4 linked regions of the Saccharomyces cerevisiae S288C genome follow. The protein of the gene in region 1 purifies or fractionates together with the protein of each later gene. This does not show direct contact. Each region holds a gene or a part of one and is shown in the gene's direction. Other genes may lie near its edges.

Region 1 (3,605 bases):
GTCTAAGGAGGAGCTATTTAACAGTGCACAATATAACACAGCATATATACACACACACACATAAAATAACCGCAAAAATGGAGGACAGTAGCAATACAATCATACCCTCACCCACTGACGTGGGGGCGCTAGCAAACAGAATCAACTTTCAAACCAGAGATGCCCACAATAAAATCAATACCTTCATGGGCATAAAGATGGCCATCGCCATGAGACATGGCTTTATATACAGACAGGGTATTCTGGCGTACTATTATGTGTTCGATGCCATCGAGCAAGAGATAGATCGCCTACTGAATGACCCCGTAACGGAGGAGGAGCTGCAAACTTCGACCATTCTGAAGCAGTTTTGGCTCGAAGATTTTAGAAGATCTACGCAGATCTATAAGGACCTGAAGCTGCTATACTCAAACACGTTTAAAAGCACAGAATCATTAAACGAATTCCTGGCTACGTTCCAGAAGCCACCGCTACTACAGCAGTTTATCAATAACATCCACGAAAACATACACAAGGAGCCATGCACCATTCTTTCTTACTGTCACGTTCTGTACTTGGCGCTTTTCGCCGGCGGCAAGCTAATACGATCGAATTTGTACAGAAGACTGGGGCTCTTCCCCAACTTCGAGAAGCTATCACAGAAGGAACTGGTCAAAAAGGGCACAAACTTCTTCACCTTCAGCGATCTGGGTCCCACTGAAGAAACACGCTTGAAATGGGAATACAAGAAGAACTATGAGCTGGCCACCAGGACGGAATTGACCGAAGCACAAAAGTTGCAGATCATTAGCGTCGCAGAAGGCATTTTTGATTGGAACTTCAACATCGTTGCAGAAATTGGAGAGTTGAATCGTCGCGAGTTAATGGGCAAGTTCAGCTTCAAGTGTATTACGTACTTGTACGAAGAATGGATGTTCAACAAGGATTCTGCTACTAGAAGAGCACTCCACACGGTCATGCTGCTGGTGCTTTCTATTATCGCGATCTGGGTTCTTTACTTCTTGGTAAAGAGTTTTCTTAGCATAGTATAACGTATAAAAAAAAAAGTCTAAATACAAACATAATATATACATGAAATAATATCAAAATATGAAGAATAGGGAAGGAAAAACAGCAGAGAAAAACATGTGAGAGGTTTTTACAGCCCTATTATCTACCCTGAGATAGCTTTCTTCTTTCTGCCTTCTCCCTCTTTCTTCTTTTCCGCAGTTTGTGTTTCTTCATCTTTTTTTTCCTCTTTCTCATCACTGAATCGAGTTGCATCACTATATTTGAACCGTTTAATGGCTCACTGACTGTGCCAGTGATCCTTGTTGCCGTAGCCGTCATCATCATCATTGTACTCAGCATGCCCTCTTGCATGGGAGGCATTGTAGTGTTAATTGCTGTTTGAAAGGTTCTGTTAAAGTAGGACCCGCAACTTGGTTTCTTAACCACCGTCCTAGTAATGCCCAGCCACCCAGGTCGCAATGCCCTTCCTAGCATGTTTATCTCGTTCTGGTGTCGTGTGTGCTCGTCTTGGCTGGAACTCAACCGCCTTTCGCTCTTGATATTATATTTGGCATTCACTTAAGTGTGCAGTATGGGGAAAGGGCTCTTTTTATCATGCGCTACGAAAAAGCGGCTCGAAGAAAATAATCCAAAGGAGTCTGACAAGAGACAATAGTAGATATTTGGTCAACTACTAAGGGCGGGCCTTTGGTTGTAGTTTTTTTACACTTTATAAGCGCAGAACACTGTAGATATTGCGAAGGTGGACTTAAAGTAGTTTGGCAAACTTGTACTTCCAGAACTATGACCGTGCTATATGCTCCTTCGGGTGCTACTCAGCTATATTTCCATCTGCTAAGGAAGTCGCCACACAACAGGCTAGTTGTCTCTCACCAAACACGTCGTCACCTCATGGGGTTCGTTAGGAACGCCCTTGGATTGGATCCTCCTCCCTCTCCAGAAGATCCTACTCCGGAGAACAGATTCCATCCATGGGATCAGTCTCCCTCAGTGGACTTGCGTGAAAGGGCCGCCAAGATTAGAACGCTAGCACACTGCCCTGTTACCGGCAAAGATATTAACTACACTTGTCCTCTGTCAGGAATTCCGACTCATCACTCACGAGAGGCTTGGGAGATGGATAAAGCATATCACGATTCTAAAAAATATGAAATCCTGAAAAAAGTTAATATTTATGAGCATGACTTAAGAAGCGGTAGACCCTTCCCGGAGTTTGATTTTCCCCAACAGCAAGGCTACGACAAGGCCGTTAACCTAACAAACTGGGATTTGTTTTTCTACACAAGATCATTCTATTCCATGGATACAGAGTTCCAATTAGCCGCAGTCACAAAGATGCTAAGCTATCCAATTACGATTGGGTCTTTGCTGCACAAATTTTCCCCGTATTCATTGAACCCAAAGGGGCCTATCACCTTAGAAGGTCTAAAATCTCTGGCTGCTCTCAGGTATACTTTATATCCGTTGGAGAATAGATCTTTACCAACCACAACTAAGAACCGTGCTATGAGAATTTTCATCCTAGGTGCACGTGCTGAAGCTCAATTGCCGGGCCACGTTTGGAAACAGCTCCAGTTTCTTTTCCCAGAGCAGAGTTTCGAAATACATTTCATTGGACCCGAATGCCTGTATAAAAGGGATAAACAGGAGTACGTCAAGTCTACTACGCCGGTAGTACAAAGAGTAGACGAGACTCTGAAATTCATTTATCGTACAAACTTTTTCGAAGTATTCCATGAGGCTCAAGATTTTTTCCCATACGATCCATACATGGATGTCTTTTTTACTTTCCATCCAGGCTACGCATCTCCAGAATCTCACGGTTCATGGATGGGTGAAACTATGAAGGCATTACTGGAAACAAAATGTGCTATCTTCACAACGGGTTTCAATAAGAAAGACCTAACGGACGACATAAATCTTGTCAAATCCAAATACGGTAAGGAAATGGATGTCTTAATGGAGCCCGTCAGAAACGTATTTGGAAGTACGAAGTGGGAATTAAATGACATGAATCCTCAAGAAGTTTATCAATTTAACATGTATATTGCCGGGTTCAGAGGTAAAAGGTACCATACAATCAAGAGACAATGATTATCGGGAGGCCATGCCCAACTTTCATCTTATAAATATATGCGTTTTCTACCGTTATTATAATTTTTTTCTTATGTATGATATCTCAATATCTGTAAATACAAAAATACTAACCCCACCCCCTTCGTAATGGTTGACCTAATAGTCCATTAACTAATCCATTCACCTATACAGTAGTATACTGACTACAGTTGCCATGACATATCCTTTCCTTTTCGGACTATATTAGGCGGAAGAAAAATAGCAATAACAATAGTAAGAAACAATAATACGGGGTTTTTTTTTTTTTGGGCCTACATAAGGTACTTCACCCCAATTTGGAAAGAGATAACAGAGTCTTTACCACATTATAAATCATGCTTTGTCGCAATACTGCCAGAACGGGCTGTAAATTCTTTCGTTTATATCATTCGAACCCTATCGAACATGTTAAACCAATTCATATTAAACCTTTAACTTATGGAAAAGAATCACCCCAGTATAAAGTATTGTCACTAGCT
Region 2 (6,248 bases), on another chromosome or scaffold:
ATTATTATTATTAAAATTATTATTTTTATAAATATATATATATATATATATATATTATTTTTATTCTTATATAAATTATATAAAAAAAATATATATAATATATAATTAATTAATATATATTATTTAAATTATATATTATTTAAAATACTTTTTATATTATATCTTCTTTAAATTAAAATATAATTATTATTTATATTATAATTATTTATGAAATATTATTATTAAAATAAAAAAGAGGTTTAGACTATATATTTATTATTTATAAACTTATTATATTATTTATTATTAATAGTTCCGGGGCCCGGCCACGGGAGCCGGAACCCCGAAAGGAGAAATAAATAAAATAAAAAATAATAAATATTAATATTATTAAATATTATTTATAATAAATATTAATATTATTAAATATTATTCATATTAATAAATTTTATTATTATTTGTAATATATTAAATATTAATAATATATATATTATTTATTATAATGAAAACCTATCCTATATTATCCTATCATATAATATCATATCATATTATATTATATCTTATTATATGATATATAAAGTATTCACTCTATATGAGGTTATGATTATTATATAAATCTTATTTTATTTTTATTTTTATTTGGACTAATAATAATTATAATAATAATTATTGATATGTTCTAATATTAATAAATACATATTTATATTATAATATAAATATTCATTTCTTACTAATTAATAAAAAGTTTTTATATTCATTATAATATAAATATATAAATATATATAAATATTTTAATAATTATAATTATATTAAGATATTATAAATATATATTTATTTTTTTTTATAAAATAAATAAATAAATAAATAATTAATATTTTTATATTATAACTTATTTTTATAATAATAATAAGTATTTTATTTTTTATTATATTATTATTTATATAATTATATATATATTAATTTCAATTTAATTAATTAATTAATTGGTATTTGGCATATAATATCAATTAATTGTAATTCTTATAAGAATTAATTAATTAATATGCTTTTTATATAATTTATACTTTTATATTTCTCCTTCCGGGGTTCCGGCTCCCGTGGCCGGGCCCCGGAACTATTATTATTATTTTTATTTATTTATTATTAAAATATAATAATAAATAGTCCGGCCCGCCCCGCGGGGCGGACGCCGGAGGAGAATTATATTTTTATATAATAATTTATATTTCTATATATATATATATATATTATATATAAATATTATTATATATATTTTTATATATATTATAATTATATTCATTAATATTTTATTATAGTGGTGGGGTCCCAATTATTATTTTCAATAATAATTTATCATGGGACCCGGATATCTTCTTGTTTTTATTTATTATTTTATTAAATTTATTTTAATTATTTATTTATAATTTATATTATACAATTTATTATTTCGTTAATACCTTTATTTATATTATATAATATATTATATTATTATAATATATTTATTGATTATATTAATACATTTAACTAATGTGTGCTCTATATTTATTGAATAGTTTGGTTCTTATCACCCACCCCCTCCCCCTATTACGTCTCCGAGGTCCCGGTTTCGTAAGAAACCGGGACTTATATATTTAATACTAAAAATATAACTACATTACTTTTTTAATATATATAACAATATATATATATATATATATTAATTATATAAAATATAATACTCTATATTAAATATTATTTTTATCAATATTTATTTATATATATAATAATAATAATAATAATCAATATTAATTATTTATATATATAAGATTAATATTATTTAATATATTATGAATAATTTAATTAATAAATCTTTAAATATTATCATAAAAATATAAATTAAATAATTTCTTATTTATAATAAAGAATAATAATATATATAAATATAATAAAGAATGTAAATAATATATATATAATATAATATAATATAAAAAATATATATATATATAAATATATATATAATATATAGATAATAATATTTTTATATAATTTATTTTATTATTAAGTAATAAATAATAAAAAAATCAATATATTAAATAATATATTTATATTAGTTCGGTTTAGTTGGTATTTTGTAATGAGTAAAAAGTAATATATAATATTAAATAATAAGTATTGATATAAGTAATAGATATAATAATAATATTATTAATATTTTATATAAATAATATTAATAATATAGATTATGAAAGAGAGTATTAATATCATTAAATATATATATATGTTATATAATTTAAATGATTTTAATATATATATATATATTATATTATAGATTATGATACATTTATATAAATAATATATATATAAAAATTAATTATACTATTACTTTATAATATAATAATATTTATTTATAAAGATATAAAAGAATTGTTTAAAGTTATAACTAAAATATTATATAGTATTCATTAATAATTAATATTATAAATTCAACTATTGTTATATTTATAAATAGAATAATATATTATTATCCTTTAAGATATAACAATAATTATTTAAATTAAATTAAATTAAATTTAATTAATTTTTTTTTTTAATGAATATAATAATAATAATATTATTAAAATTAATATATAAAAAAAAAGTAAAAATGGTACAAAGATGATTATATTCAACAAATGCAAAAGATATTGCAGTATTATATTTTATGTTAGCTATTTTTAGTGGTATGGCAGGAACAGCAATGTCTTTAATCATTAGATTAGAATTAGCTGCACCTGGTTCACAATATTTACATGGTAATTCACAATTATTTAATGGTGCGCCTCTCAGTGCGTATATTTCGTTGATGCGTCTAGCATTAGTATTATGAATCATCAATAGATACTTAAAACATATGACTAACTCAGTAGGGGCTAACTTTACGGGGACAATAGCATGTCATAAAACACCTATGATTAGTGTAGGTGGAGTTAAGTGTTACATGGTTAGGTTAACGAACTTCTTACAAGTCTTTATCAGGATTACAATTTCCTCTTATCATTTGGATATAGTAAAACAAGTTTGATTATTTTACGTTGAGGTAATCAGATTATGATTCATTGTTTTAGATAGCACAGGCAGTGTGAAAAAGATGAAGGACCTAAATAACACAAAAGGAAATACGAAAAGTGAGGGATCAACTGAAAGAGGAAACTCTGGAGTTGACAGAGGTATAGTAGTACCGAATACTCAAATAAAAATGAGATTTTTAAATCAAGTTAGATACTATTCAGTAAATAATAATTTAAAAATAGGGAAGGATACCAATATTGAGTTATCAAAAGATACAAGTACTTCGGACTTGTTAGAATTTGAGAAATTAGTAATAGATAATATAAATGAGGAAAATATAAATAATAATTTATTAAGTATTATAAAAAACGTAGATATATTAATATTAGCATATAATAGAATTAAGAGTAAACCTGGTAATATAACTCCAGGTACAACATTAGAAACATTAGATGGTATAAATATAATATATTTAAATAAATTATCAAATGAATTAGGAACAGGTAAATTCAAATTTAAACCCATGAGAATAGTTAATATTCCTAAACCTAAAGGTGGTATAAGACCTTTAAGTGTAGGTAATCCAAGAGATAAAATTGTACAAGAAGTTATAAGAATAATTTTAGATACAATTTTTGATAAAAAGATATCAACACATTCACATGGTTTTAGAAAGAATATAAGTTGTCAAACAGCAATTTGAGAAGTTAGAAATATATTTGGTGGAAGTAATTGATTTATTGAAGTAGACTTAAAAAAATGTTTTGATACAATTTCTCATGATTTAATTATTAAAGAATTAAAAAGATATATTTCAGATAAAGGTTTTATTGATTTAGTATATAAATTATTAAGAGCTGGTTATATTGATGAGAAAGGAACTTATCATAAACCTATATTAGGTTTACCTCAAGGATCATTAATTAGTCCTATCTTATGTAATATTGTAATAACATTGGTAGATAATTGATTAGAAGATTATATTAATTTATATAATAAAGGTAAAGTTAAAAAACAACATCCTACATATAAAAAATTATCAAGAATAATTGCAAAAGCTAAAATATTTTCGACAAGATTAAAATTACATAAAGAAAGAGCTAAAGGCCCACTATTTATTTATAATGATCCTAATTTCAAGAGAATAAAATACGTTAGATATGCAGATGATATTTTAATTGGGGTATTAGGTTCAAAAAATGATTGTAAAATAATCAAAAGAGATTTAAACAATTTTTTAAATTCATTAGGTTTAACTATAAATGAAGAAAAAACTTTAATTACTTGTGCAACTGAACTACCAGCAAGATTTTTAGGTTATAATATTTCAATTACACCTTTAAAAAGAATACCTACAGTTACTAAACTAATTAGAGGTAAACTTATTAGAAGTAGAAATACAACTAGACCTATTATTAATGCACCAATTAGAGATATTATCAATAAATTAGCTACTAATGGATATTGTAAGCATAATAAAAATGGTAGAATAGGAGTGCCTACAAGAGTAGGTAGATGACTATATGAAGAACCTAGAACAATTATTAATAATTATAAAGCGTTAGGTAGAGGTATCTTAAATTATTATAAATTAGCTACTAATTATAAAAGATTAAGAGAAAGAATCTATTACGTATTATATTATTCATGTGTATTAACTTTAGCTAGTAAATATAGATTAAAAACAATAAGTAAAACTATTAAAAAATTTGGTTATAATTTAAATATTATTGAAAATGATAAATTAATTGCCAATTTTCCAAGAAATACTTTTGATAATATCAAAAAAATTGAAAATCATGGTATATTTATATATATATCAGAAGCTAAAGTAACTGATCCTTTTGAATATATCGATTCAATTAAATATATATTACCTACAGCTAAAGCTAATTTTAATAAACCTTGTAGTATTTGTAATTCAACTATTGATGTAGAAATACATCATGTTAAACAATTACATAGAGGTATATTAAAAGCACTTAAAGATTATATTCTAGGTAGAATAATTACCATAAACAGAAAACAAATTCCATTATGTAAACAATGTCATATTAAAACACATAAAAATAAATTTAAAAATATAGGACCTGGTATATAAAATCTATTATTAATGATACTCAATATGGAAAGCCGTATGATGGGAAACTATCACGTACGGTTTGGGAAAGGCTCTTTAACACGTGGCAACATAGGTTAATTTGCTATTTCATTTTTAGTAGTTGGTCATGCTGTATTAATGATTTTCTGTGCGCCGTTTCGCTTAATTTATCACTGTATTGAAGTGTTAATTGATAAACATATCTCTGTTTATTCAATTAATGAAAACTTTACCGTATCATTTTGGTTCTGATTATTAGTAGTAACATACATAGTATTTAGATACGTAAACCATATGGCTTACCCAGTTGGGGCCAACTCAACGGGGACAATAGCATGCCATAAAAGCGCTGGAGTAAAACAGCCAGCGCAAGGTAAGAACTGTCCGATGGCTAGGTTAACGAATTCCTGTAAAGAATGTTTAGGGTTCTCATTAACTCCTTCCCACTTGGGGATTGTGATTCATGCTTATGTATTGGAAGAAGAGGTACACGAGTTAACCAAAAATGAATCATTAGCTTTAAGTAAAAGTTGACATTTGGAGGGCTGTACGAGTTCAAATGGAAAATTAAGAAATACGGGATTGTCCGAAAGGGGAAACCCTGGGGATAACGGAGTCTTCATAGTACCCAAATTTAATTTAAATAAAGTGAGATACTTTAGTACTTTATCTAAATTAAATGCAAGGAAGGAAGACAGTTTAGCGTATTTAACAAAGATTAATACTACGGATTTTTCCGAGTTAAATAAATTAATAGAAAATAATCATAATAAACTTGAAACCATTAATACTAGAATTTTAAAATTAATGTCAGATATTAGAATGTTATTAATTGCTTATAATAAAATTAAAAGTAAGAAAGGTAATATATCTAAAGGTTCTAATAATATTACCTTAGATGGGATTAATATTTCATATTTAAATAAATTATCTAAAGATATTAACACTAATATGTTTAAATTTTCTCCGGTTAGAAGAGTTGAAATTCCTAAAACATCTGGAGGATTTAGACCTTTAAGTGTTGGAAATCCTAGAGAAAAAATTGTACAAGAAAGTATGAGAATAATATTAGAAATTATCTATAATAATAGTTTCTCTTATTATTCTCATGGATTTAGACCTAACTTATCTTGTTTAACAG
Region 3 (4,560 bases), on another chromosome or scaffold:
TATATTAATAGTTCCGGGGCCCGGCCACGGGAGCCGGAACCCCGAAAGGAGAAATATTAATAAAATAAAATAAAATTATAATATAATTAAATTATAAGAATTATATTTACTCCTTTTATAATTTATATTTATAATATAATATAATATAAAATAAATATAATATAATATAAAATAAATATAATGTAATAGGTATTCACTCCTCTTTGGGGTTCCGATCCCCCATACGGATACGGATACGGATACGAATACGGATACGGATACGGATACGGGGGGCCGTCCCCCAGAACTTAATATTATATCTTAAATAATTAATATAAATATAATATATTATTTAATAATAATAATAAATAAATAAATAAATAAATAAATAAATTAAATAAATAATAATATTATTATAATTACTTTTTAATAAATAATATTAATATAATATTATATTAGTATTATAAATAGACTTTTTATTATTTTATATATAATATAGTCCGGCCCGCCCCCGCGGGGCGGACCCCGAAGGAGTAATATATTATATAATTATTATTTTTAATTATAAATAAAATATAATTATTATTTATTATATAATTTATATAAATATATATATATATTTATTATATATATAAATATAAATATAAATATAATAATTAATAATATTAAAGTTTTATATATATTAATATATTATAAAAGGTTTATATATATATATAATAAGATAAGTAATAAATTAATTAATTAATAATATAAAAATATATATTATATATTATGTTTTATTTATATATATATATATATTATGTATTATTATATAAATATATATATATATTATATTATAAGTAATAATAAGTATTATATTATATATAGCTTTTATAGCTTAGTGGTAAAGCGATAAATTGAAGATTTATTTACATGTAGTTCGATTCTCATTAAGGGCAATAATAATAATATATTAATTAATAATTAATTTATAATAAATATATTATAATAATTAATATATATATATATAATATATTTAATACAAAGAAAATATATATTATATCTCTTATTTATTTATTTATTAATATTTTAATAAATATAATATTATAAAAAAAAGTTTATATATTTAGTTCCGGGGCCCGGCCACGGGAGCCGGAACCCCGGTAGGAGAAATATAAATATAAATATAAATATAATATAAGTTTGGTATTCATTTAATTATATTATTTAATTAAAAATATTCTAAATAAGAATAAATATCAATAAAGGAGTTATAAATATATATATATATTAATATATATATAAAAATATATATTATTATTAGTTCCCGCTTTGCGGGAACCCCGTAAGGAGTGAGGGACCCCATGGGAACCGAACCCCTATTTAAGAAGGAGTTTTATTATAATAAAATTTATATATATTTAATATATAATTATAAAAATATTATATAATAAATAATAAATAATTATTAATAATAAATAAATATAATAATAATATTATAATAAATTTATAAATGATTATAATAAATTTATATTAATTTTTTATTTTGTAAATACTAAGATTTGAACTTAGATAATATGCACCTAAAAACATACATTTTACCATTAAATTATATTTACCTTATTAATTATATAAAATTTATTAAATATATAATATATTAATTATATAAAAATTATTAAATAAATATATAATATATTATATATAATTTATAATATATATATTATAAATATTATTATATATAAAATATAATATACTACTTATAAAAATATATATATATATATAAATATATATATAAATAAATATTTTATATATTAAATTAAATAATTATTAATAAATTTAATTATAAAGTATAATTTTCAATAGGAATATTTATAAGATTATAATAATTATATGAATTATTATAATTATATATATATAAATAAATAAAATAATAATTATAATAATTAATAAGAGTTTTGGATATATATCTGTGGAGTATATATTTTATAAAGGAGATTAGCTTAATTGGTATAGCATTCGTTTTACACACGAAAGATTATAGGTTCGAACCCTATATTTCCTAAATCTAGATATAATATTATATCTATCTTAATATAATAATATTTATTTATTAAATAAAAAAAAAATAAATAATATTAATTAATATAAGATTCTTTTTTAATTATAATAATAAATAAATAAAAAGAAGATATTATCAATGATTTATATTAATAATAAATATAAATAATAAAAAATATATATAATATAATATAATAAATATATTTCCTTTAATATTAATAAATTAATAATAATAATAATAATAATAATAAAATATTTAAATAAATTATATTCAATACAAATTAATTATTTATATTATTAATAATTGAATAAATAATCCGGTCGAAAGAGATATTAATTCGATTATATTATTTATTTAATTATATTTAATTTAAATATATAAATTAATATATATATATTGAATTATATATAAATTTATTTTATAATTTTATAAATAATATATTATTATAAATATTTAATATAATTTATATTATTATTAAATAAAAGATTTATTAAATTAATATTATTATTTAATTTTATTATATAGTTTAAGGGATAATATTTTATTAATATTTTTTTTATTTATTTATTTAATTATATTATATATATAATATATATATAACAATAAATTTATGACACATTTAGAAAGAAGTAGACATCAACAACATCCATTTCATATGGTTATGCCTTCACCATGACCTATTGTAGTATCATTTGCATTATTATCATTAGCATTATCACTAGCATTAACAATGCATGGTTATATTGGTAATATGAATATGGTATATTTAGCATTATTTGTATTATTAACAAGTTCTATTTTATGATTTAGAGATATTGTAGCTGAAGCTACATATTTAGGTGATCATACTATAGCAGTAAGAAAAGGTATTAATTTAGGTTTCTTAATGTTTGTATTATCTGAAGTATTAATCTTTGCTGGTTTATTCTGAGCTTATTTCCATTCAGCTATGAGTCCTGATGTACTATTAGGTGCATGTTGACCACCCGTAGGTATTGAAGCTGTACAACCTACCGAATTACCTTTATTAAATACTATTATCTTATTATCTTCTGGTGCTACTGTAACTTATAGTCATCATGCCTTAATCGCAGGTAATAGAAATAAAGCCTTATCAGGTTTATTAATTACATTCTGATTAATTGTTATTTTTGTTACTTGTCAATATATTGAATATACTAATGCTGCATTCACTATCTCTGATGGTGTTTATGGTTCAGTATTCTATGCTGGTACAGGATTACATTTCTTACATATGGTAATGTTAGCAGCTATGTTAGGTGTTAATTATTGAAGAATGAGAAATTATCATTTAACAGCTGGACATCATGTTGGATATGAAACAACTATTATTTATCTACATGTTTTAGATGTTATCTGATTATTTTTATACGTAGTCTTCTACTGATGAGGAGTCTAAGGCTATAGAATTATATATCTAAATGATTAATATATATATTATTAATAATTAACAATAATTAATATATTATAATTTATATATATATATTTTATATTATTATAATAATATTCTTACAAATATAATTATTATATATTATTCCTTCAAAACTCCTAACGGGGTTCCCGCGAAGCGGGAACTAATAATAATATAATCATTATACTCTTTTTTCATTTACCTTTTATAAAGATAATTAATAAATTTATTTAATATTTATAAAAAAAAAAATATAATATTAATATAATATAATATAATAATGTAATTATTTATATTTTTATATTCCTTCGAGGTCACCGCCTCACCTCCAGCGGGACTTTTTTAATATGATATAATATAATATAAATATTATTAATTTAACTAATATATAAATTCATATATATATATATATTATTAATATTATTTTATAAAAAATATTTTTTATTTGATTATTATTAAATATTATATAGTTCCGGGGCCCGGCCACGGGAGCCGGAACCCCGAAAGGAGAAATATTAATATATTATAAATATACTATTTATGTAATTATTTTTTGAAGTGAGCACCTATTTTATATATATTTTATATATATTTTATTATATTTTATTAAAAATAGGTGTGAACCTCCATGAGAGAGGAATGAATACCTATTTTATAAAGTATATTTTATATTCTATATATTATAAATATGAACCAAAAAAAGGAGTTTAAAATTTAATTAAATTTAATTAATTGAATTTCTTTATTATTATTATCATAATTATTAAACCCTTTATTAATATAATAATATATTATTTATTATCAAAATACCTACCCTTTTTATAATTTATATCTTTAATAATATAATTAAATATAAAATGTTTATTAAATATTATATAAAAATAAAAATAAAAATATATATATATATATAAATGATAAATAATAAGGAATTCACACTTATATAAATTTAAATATAAAGTCCCAAAAGAAGTATTCATTAAATAAATTATCATTAATTAATTATAATAAACTTATTTAATATTATTAAAGATTAATTTATAATAATAATTATTATTATTATTATTAATATTAATAAAATATATAAATAATTAAATAGTTCATATATTAAAAA
Region 4 (4,507 bases), on another chromosome or scaffold:
TATTATCTGTATTTAATAAATTTAATTATAGAGTTATATTTCTATATATTTATATATTTATTTATTTATTCTCCTTCCGGAACTAATAAAATATATAAAATAAGGGTTTTTATTTATTTAATTAATATATATTTATTCTTTTATATAATATGTCCTTATAGCTTATCGGTTAAAGCATCTCACTGTTAATGAGAATAGATGGGTTCAATTCCTATTAAGGACGATAATAATATATATATATTTTAATTTATATATCATATATATATATATATTAAAGAAAATAATATAAAAAGTATGTATTAATAATAATAATAAATAAATAATAATAAATAATTTTATTATATTATATTATATTATATTTATTGATATATTTATTGATATTTATTAATTTAAGATTATTCATTAAATATATAATTATTAATAATTTAATATATTTTATAATTTTTATTATATTTTATGTAAGAAGAAACTATTTTATATATTATATATATATATATAATTTTTATAAAATGATAAATTTTATATTATAAATATTATTAAAATATTTTTATAAATATTTAAATTATTTATAAAAAGGTATATAATAATAATTATTAATATTATATTATATTATATATTTATTTATATTATATATAATAATATATTTATATATATATTAATTAATAAATTAAATAAGTATCTATATTTTATATTATATTATATTATTTTATTTTATTAATTCCGGAAGGAGAATAAAAAGTATTCTAAAGAAATTATATATTTATTATTTTTATTAATATGTTATAAATTAATAAAAAATAAATATGTATATATAAATTATATTTATTATGTTTAATTATTTATAATTTATTATAATATATAGTATAAGATATCTTATTTATATTTATATATAATAAAGAATATTATTAAACTAACACCTATATTATATATATTATATTATATAATATTATATATATATTAATTACTAAGAATAAATTTATAATTAGATAATATTTATATTTATTTATTTATTTAATTAACAAATATATTAATATTTTTAATTAATTAATAATACCTTTATATATATATATATATATATATTAATTTTAATTATATAATTATCTTTTTTATTAATAATTATAAATATATTATATATTTTATATAATAAGATTATAATTTTATAATTATTTTATTTTTTATTAAAAATTATTATTATTATAATTATTATATTATAATTATAAATTATTAAAGAATATATTTATTAATATTTTAATAATTAATATCTTTTATTTATATTTATAAAATAAGGTATAAATATTGATAATAAAGAGTAAATATTGTATTAATTATAATAATAATTATAATTAAGGAGCTTGTATAGTTTAATTGGTTAAAACATTTGTCTCATAAATAAATAATGTAAGGTTCAATTCCTTCTACAAGTAATAATGATTATAATATTTATATATATTAAAATAATATTAATAAATAATTACTCCTCCTAGCAGGATTCACATCTCCTTCGGCCGGACTCCTTCGGGGTCCGCCCCGCGGGGGCGGGCCGGACTATTTTATTATTATTAAATAGATGTTCATTAAATAATTATAAATATAATTTATCTTTTAAATATATATATATAATATAATATTTAAATATATATTATAAATAAATAAATAAATAATTAATTAATAAAAACATATAATGTATATTTATCTATAAAAAATATTAATTAAATTAATATATTATTACAGTTCCGGGGGCCGGCCACGGGAGCCGGAACCCCGAAGGAGATAAATAAATAAATAAATATAAATAATTCTTCTTCTTTAAAATTAAATAAAATAAAATAAAAAGGGGGGCGGACTCCTTCGGGGTCCCGCCCCCCTCCGCGGGGCGGACTATTTTATTTTTAAATATATATTATATTAATAATATAAATATAAGTCCCCGCCCCGGCGGGGACCCCGAAGGAGTATAAATAAAAATTAATAATATATTATATATATATTATATTAATAATAATAATAATAATAATAATAATAAATAATAACTCCTTGCTTCATACCTTTATAAATAAGGTAATCACTAATATATTATAATAATAAAAATTATATATATTATATATAATCTAAATATTATATATTTTAATAAATATTAATATATATGATATGAATATTATTAGTTTTTGGGAAGCGGGAATCCCGTAAGGAGTGAGGGACCCCTCCCTAACGGGAGGAGGACCGAAGGAGTTTTAGTATTTTTTTTTTTTTAATAAAATATATATTTATATGATTAATAATATTATATATATTATTTATAAAAATAATATATAATTTTAATTATTTTTAATAAAAAAAGGTGGGGTTGATAATATAATATAATATTTTTTATTTTAATTTATAATATATAATAATAAATTATAAATAAATTTTAATTAAAAGTAGTATTAACATATTATAAATAGACAAAAGAGTCTAAAGGTTAAGATTTATTAAAATGTTAGATTTATTAAGATTACAATTAACAACATTCATTATGAATGATGTACCAACACCTTATGCATGTTATTTTCAGGATTCAGCAACACCAAATCAAGAAGGTATTTTAGAATTACATGATAATATTATGTTTTATTTATTAGTTATTTTAGGTTTAGTATCTTGAATGTTATATACAATTGTTATAACATATTCAAAAAATCCTATTGCATATAAATATATTAAACATGGACAAACTATTGAAGTTATTTGAACAATTTTTCCAGCTGTAATTTTATTAATTATTGCTTTTCCTTCATTTATTTTATTATATTTATGTGATGAAGTTATTTCACCAGCTATAACTATTAAAGCTATTGGATATCAATGATATTGAAAATATGAATATTCAGATTTTATTAATGATAGTGGTGAAACTGTTGAATTTGAATCATATGTTATTCCTGATGAATTATTAGAAGAAGGTCAATTAAGATTATTAGATACTGATACTTCTATAGTTGTACCTGTAGATACACATATTAGATTCGTTGTAACAGCTGCTGATGTTATTCATGATTTTGCTATTCCAAGTTTAGGTATTAAAGTTGATGCTACTCCTGGTAGATTAAATCAAGTTTCTGCTTTAATTCAAAGAGAAGGTGTCTTCTATGGAGCATGTTCTGAGTTGTGTGGGACAGGTCATGCAAATATGCCAATTAAGATCGAAGCAGTATCATTACCTAAATTTTTGGAATGATTAAATGAACAATAATTAATATTTACTTATTATTAATATTTTTAATTATTAAAAATAATAATAATAATAATAATTATAATAATATTCTTAAATATAATAAAGATATAGATTTATATTCTATTCAATCACCTTATATTAAAAATATAAATATTATTAAAAGAGGTTATCATACTTCTTTAAATAATAAATTAATTATTGTTCAAAAAGATAATAAAAATAATAATAAGAATAATTTAGAAATAGATAATTTTTATAAATGATTAGTAGGATTTACAGATGGAGATGGTAGTTTTTATATTAAATTAAATGATAAAAAATATTTAAGATTTTTTTATGGTTTTAGAATACATATTGATGATAAAGCATGTTTAGAAAAGATTAGAAATATATTAAATATACCTTCTAATTTTGAAGAACTACTTAAAACAATTATATTAGTAAATTCACAAAAGAAATGGTTATATTCTAATATTGTAACTATTTTTGATAAGTATCCTTGTTTAACAATTAAATATTATAGTTATTATAAATGAAAAATAGCTATAATTAATAATTTAAATGGTATATCTTATAATAATAAAGATTTATTAAATATTAAAAATACAATTAATAATTATGAAGTTATACCTAATTTAAAAATTCCATATGATAAAATAAATGATTATTGAATTTTAGGTTTTATTGAAGCTGAAGGTTCATTTGATCTATCTCCAAAACGTAATATTTGTGGTTTTAATGTTTCACAACATAAACGTAGTATTAATACATTAAAAGCTATTAAATCTTATGTATTAAATAATTGAAAACCAATTGATAATACACCATTATTAATTAAAAATAAATTATTAAAAGATTGAGATTCATCTATTAAATTAACTAAACCTGATAAAAATGGAGTTATTAAATTAGAATTTAATAGAATAGATTTTTTATATTATGTTATTTTACCTAAATTATATTCATTAAAATGATATAGTCGTAAAGAAATTGATTTCCAATTATGAAAAACACTTATAGAAATCTATATAAAAGGTTTACATAATACACTTAAAGGTTCTAATTTATTAAAATTAATTAATAATAATATTAATAAAAAAAGATATTATTCTAATTATAATATTTCTCCTTTCGGGGTTCCGGCTCCCGTGGCCGGGCCCCGGAACTAAAAATATTATTGATGATGTATTAAATATAAATCTTATCTATAATTATAAATTACCATATCGTATAAATAGTGATATTCAACGTTTAAATTCTATAAATAATAATAATACTAAATTTATTAATGTT

Evidence for each region.
Region 2: the proteins of MSS51 (region 1) and COX1 purify together in Saccharomyces cerevisiae (affinity purification with western blotting; 10 studies listed by BioGRID, with this or other methods). This does not show direct contact.
Region 3: the proteins of MSS51 (region 1) and COX3 purify together in Saccharomyces cerevisiae (affinity purification with western blotting; 3 studies listed by BioGRID, with this or other methods). This does not show direct contact.
Region 4: the proteins of MSS51 (region 1) and COX2 purify together in Saccharomyces cerevisiae (affinity purification with western blotting; 4 studies listed by BioGRID, with this or other methods). This does not show direct contact.

Annotation. Positions count from the first base shown.
Region 1 is NC_001144.5:550,150-553,754, reverse strand, and holds MSS51 (Mss51p), read left to right. Parts: upstream 1-1,794; coding exon 1,795-3,105; downstream 3,106-3,605. Other genes in the region: HMX1 (Hmx1p), read left to right, coding at 78-1,031; mitochondrial 37S ribosomal protein mS38 QRI5, read right to left, coding at 1,150-1,485; ubiquinone biosynthesis protein COQ9, read left to right, coding at 3,462-3,605. UniProt on the Saccharomyces cerevisiae protein: Has a dual role in the assembly of cytochrome oxidase subunit 1 (COX1). It has a regulative function on COX1 synthesis, acting as a translational activator specific for the COX1 mRNA, and it also binds to newly synthesized COX1 protein.
Region 2 is NC_001224.1:11,216-17,463, forward strand, and holds the start of COX1 (cytochrome c oxidase subunit 1), read left to right. Parts: upstream 1-2,602; coding exon 2,603-2,771; coding exon of another isoform or gene 2,772-5,107; intron 5,108-5,219; coding exon 5,220-5,255; coding exon of another isoform or gene 5,256-6,248. Other genes in the region: intron-encoded reverse transcriptase aI2, read left to right, coding at 2,603-2,771, 5,220-6,248; AI5_ALPHA (intron-encoded DNA endonuclease aI5 alpha), read left to right, coding at 2,603-2,771, 5,220-5,255; intron-encoded DNA endonuclease aI4, read left to right, coding at 2,603-2,771, 5,220-5,255; intron-encoded DNA endonuclease aI3, read left to right, coding at 2,603-2,771, 5,220-5,255; intron-encoded reverse transcriptase aI1, read left to right, coding at 2,603-5,107. UniProt on the Saccharomyces cerevisiae protein: Component of the cytochrome c oxidase, the last enzyme in the mitochondrial electron transport chain which drives oxidative phosphorylation.
Region 3 is NC_001224.1:76,586-81,145, forward strand, and holds COX3 (cytochrome c oxidase subunit 3), read left to right. Parts: upstream 1-2,627; coding exon 2,628-3,437; downstream 3,438-4,560. UniProt on the Saccharomyces cerevisiae protein: Component of the cytochrome c oxidase, the last enzyme in the mitochondrial electron transport chain which drives oxidative phosphorylation.
Region 4 is NC_001224.1:71,282-75,788, forward strand, and holds COX2 (cytochrome c oxidase subunit 2), read left to right. Parts: upstream 1-2,476; coding exon 2,477-3,232; downstream 3,233-4,507. Other genes in the region: Q0255 (maturase-like protein), read left to right, coding at 3,214-4,341, 4,382-4,507. UniProt on the Saccharomyces cerevisiae protein: Component of the cytochrome c oxidase, the last enzyme in the mitochondrial electron transport chain which drives oxidative phosphorylation.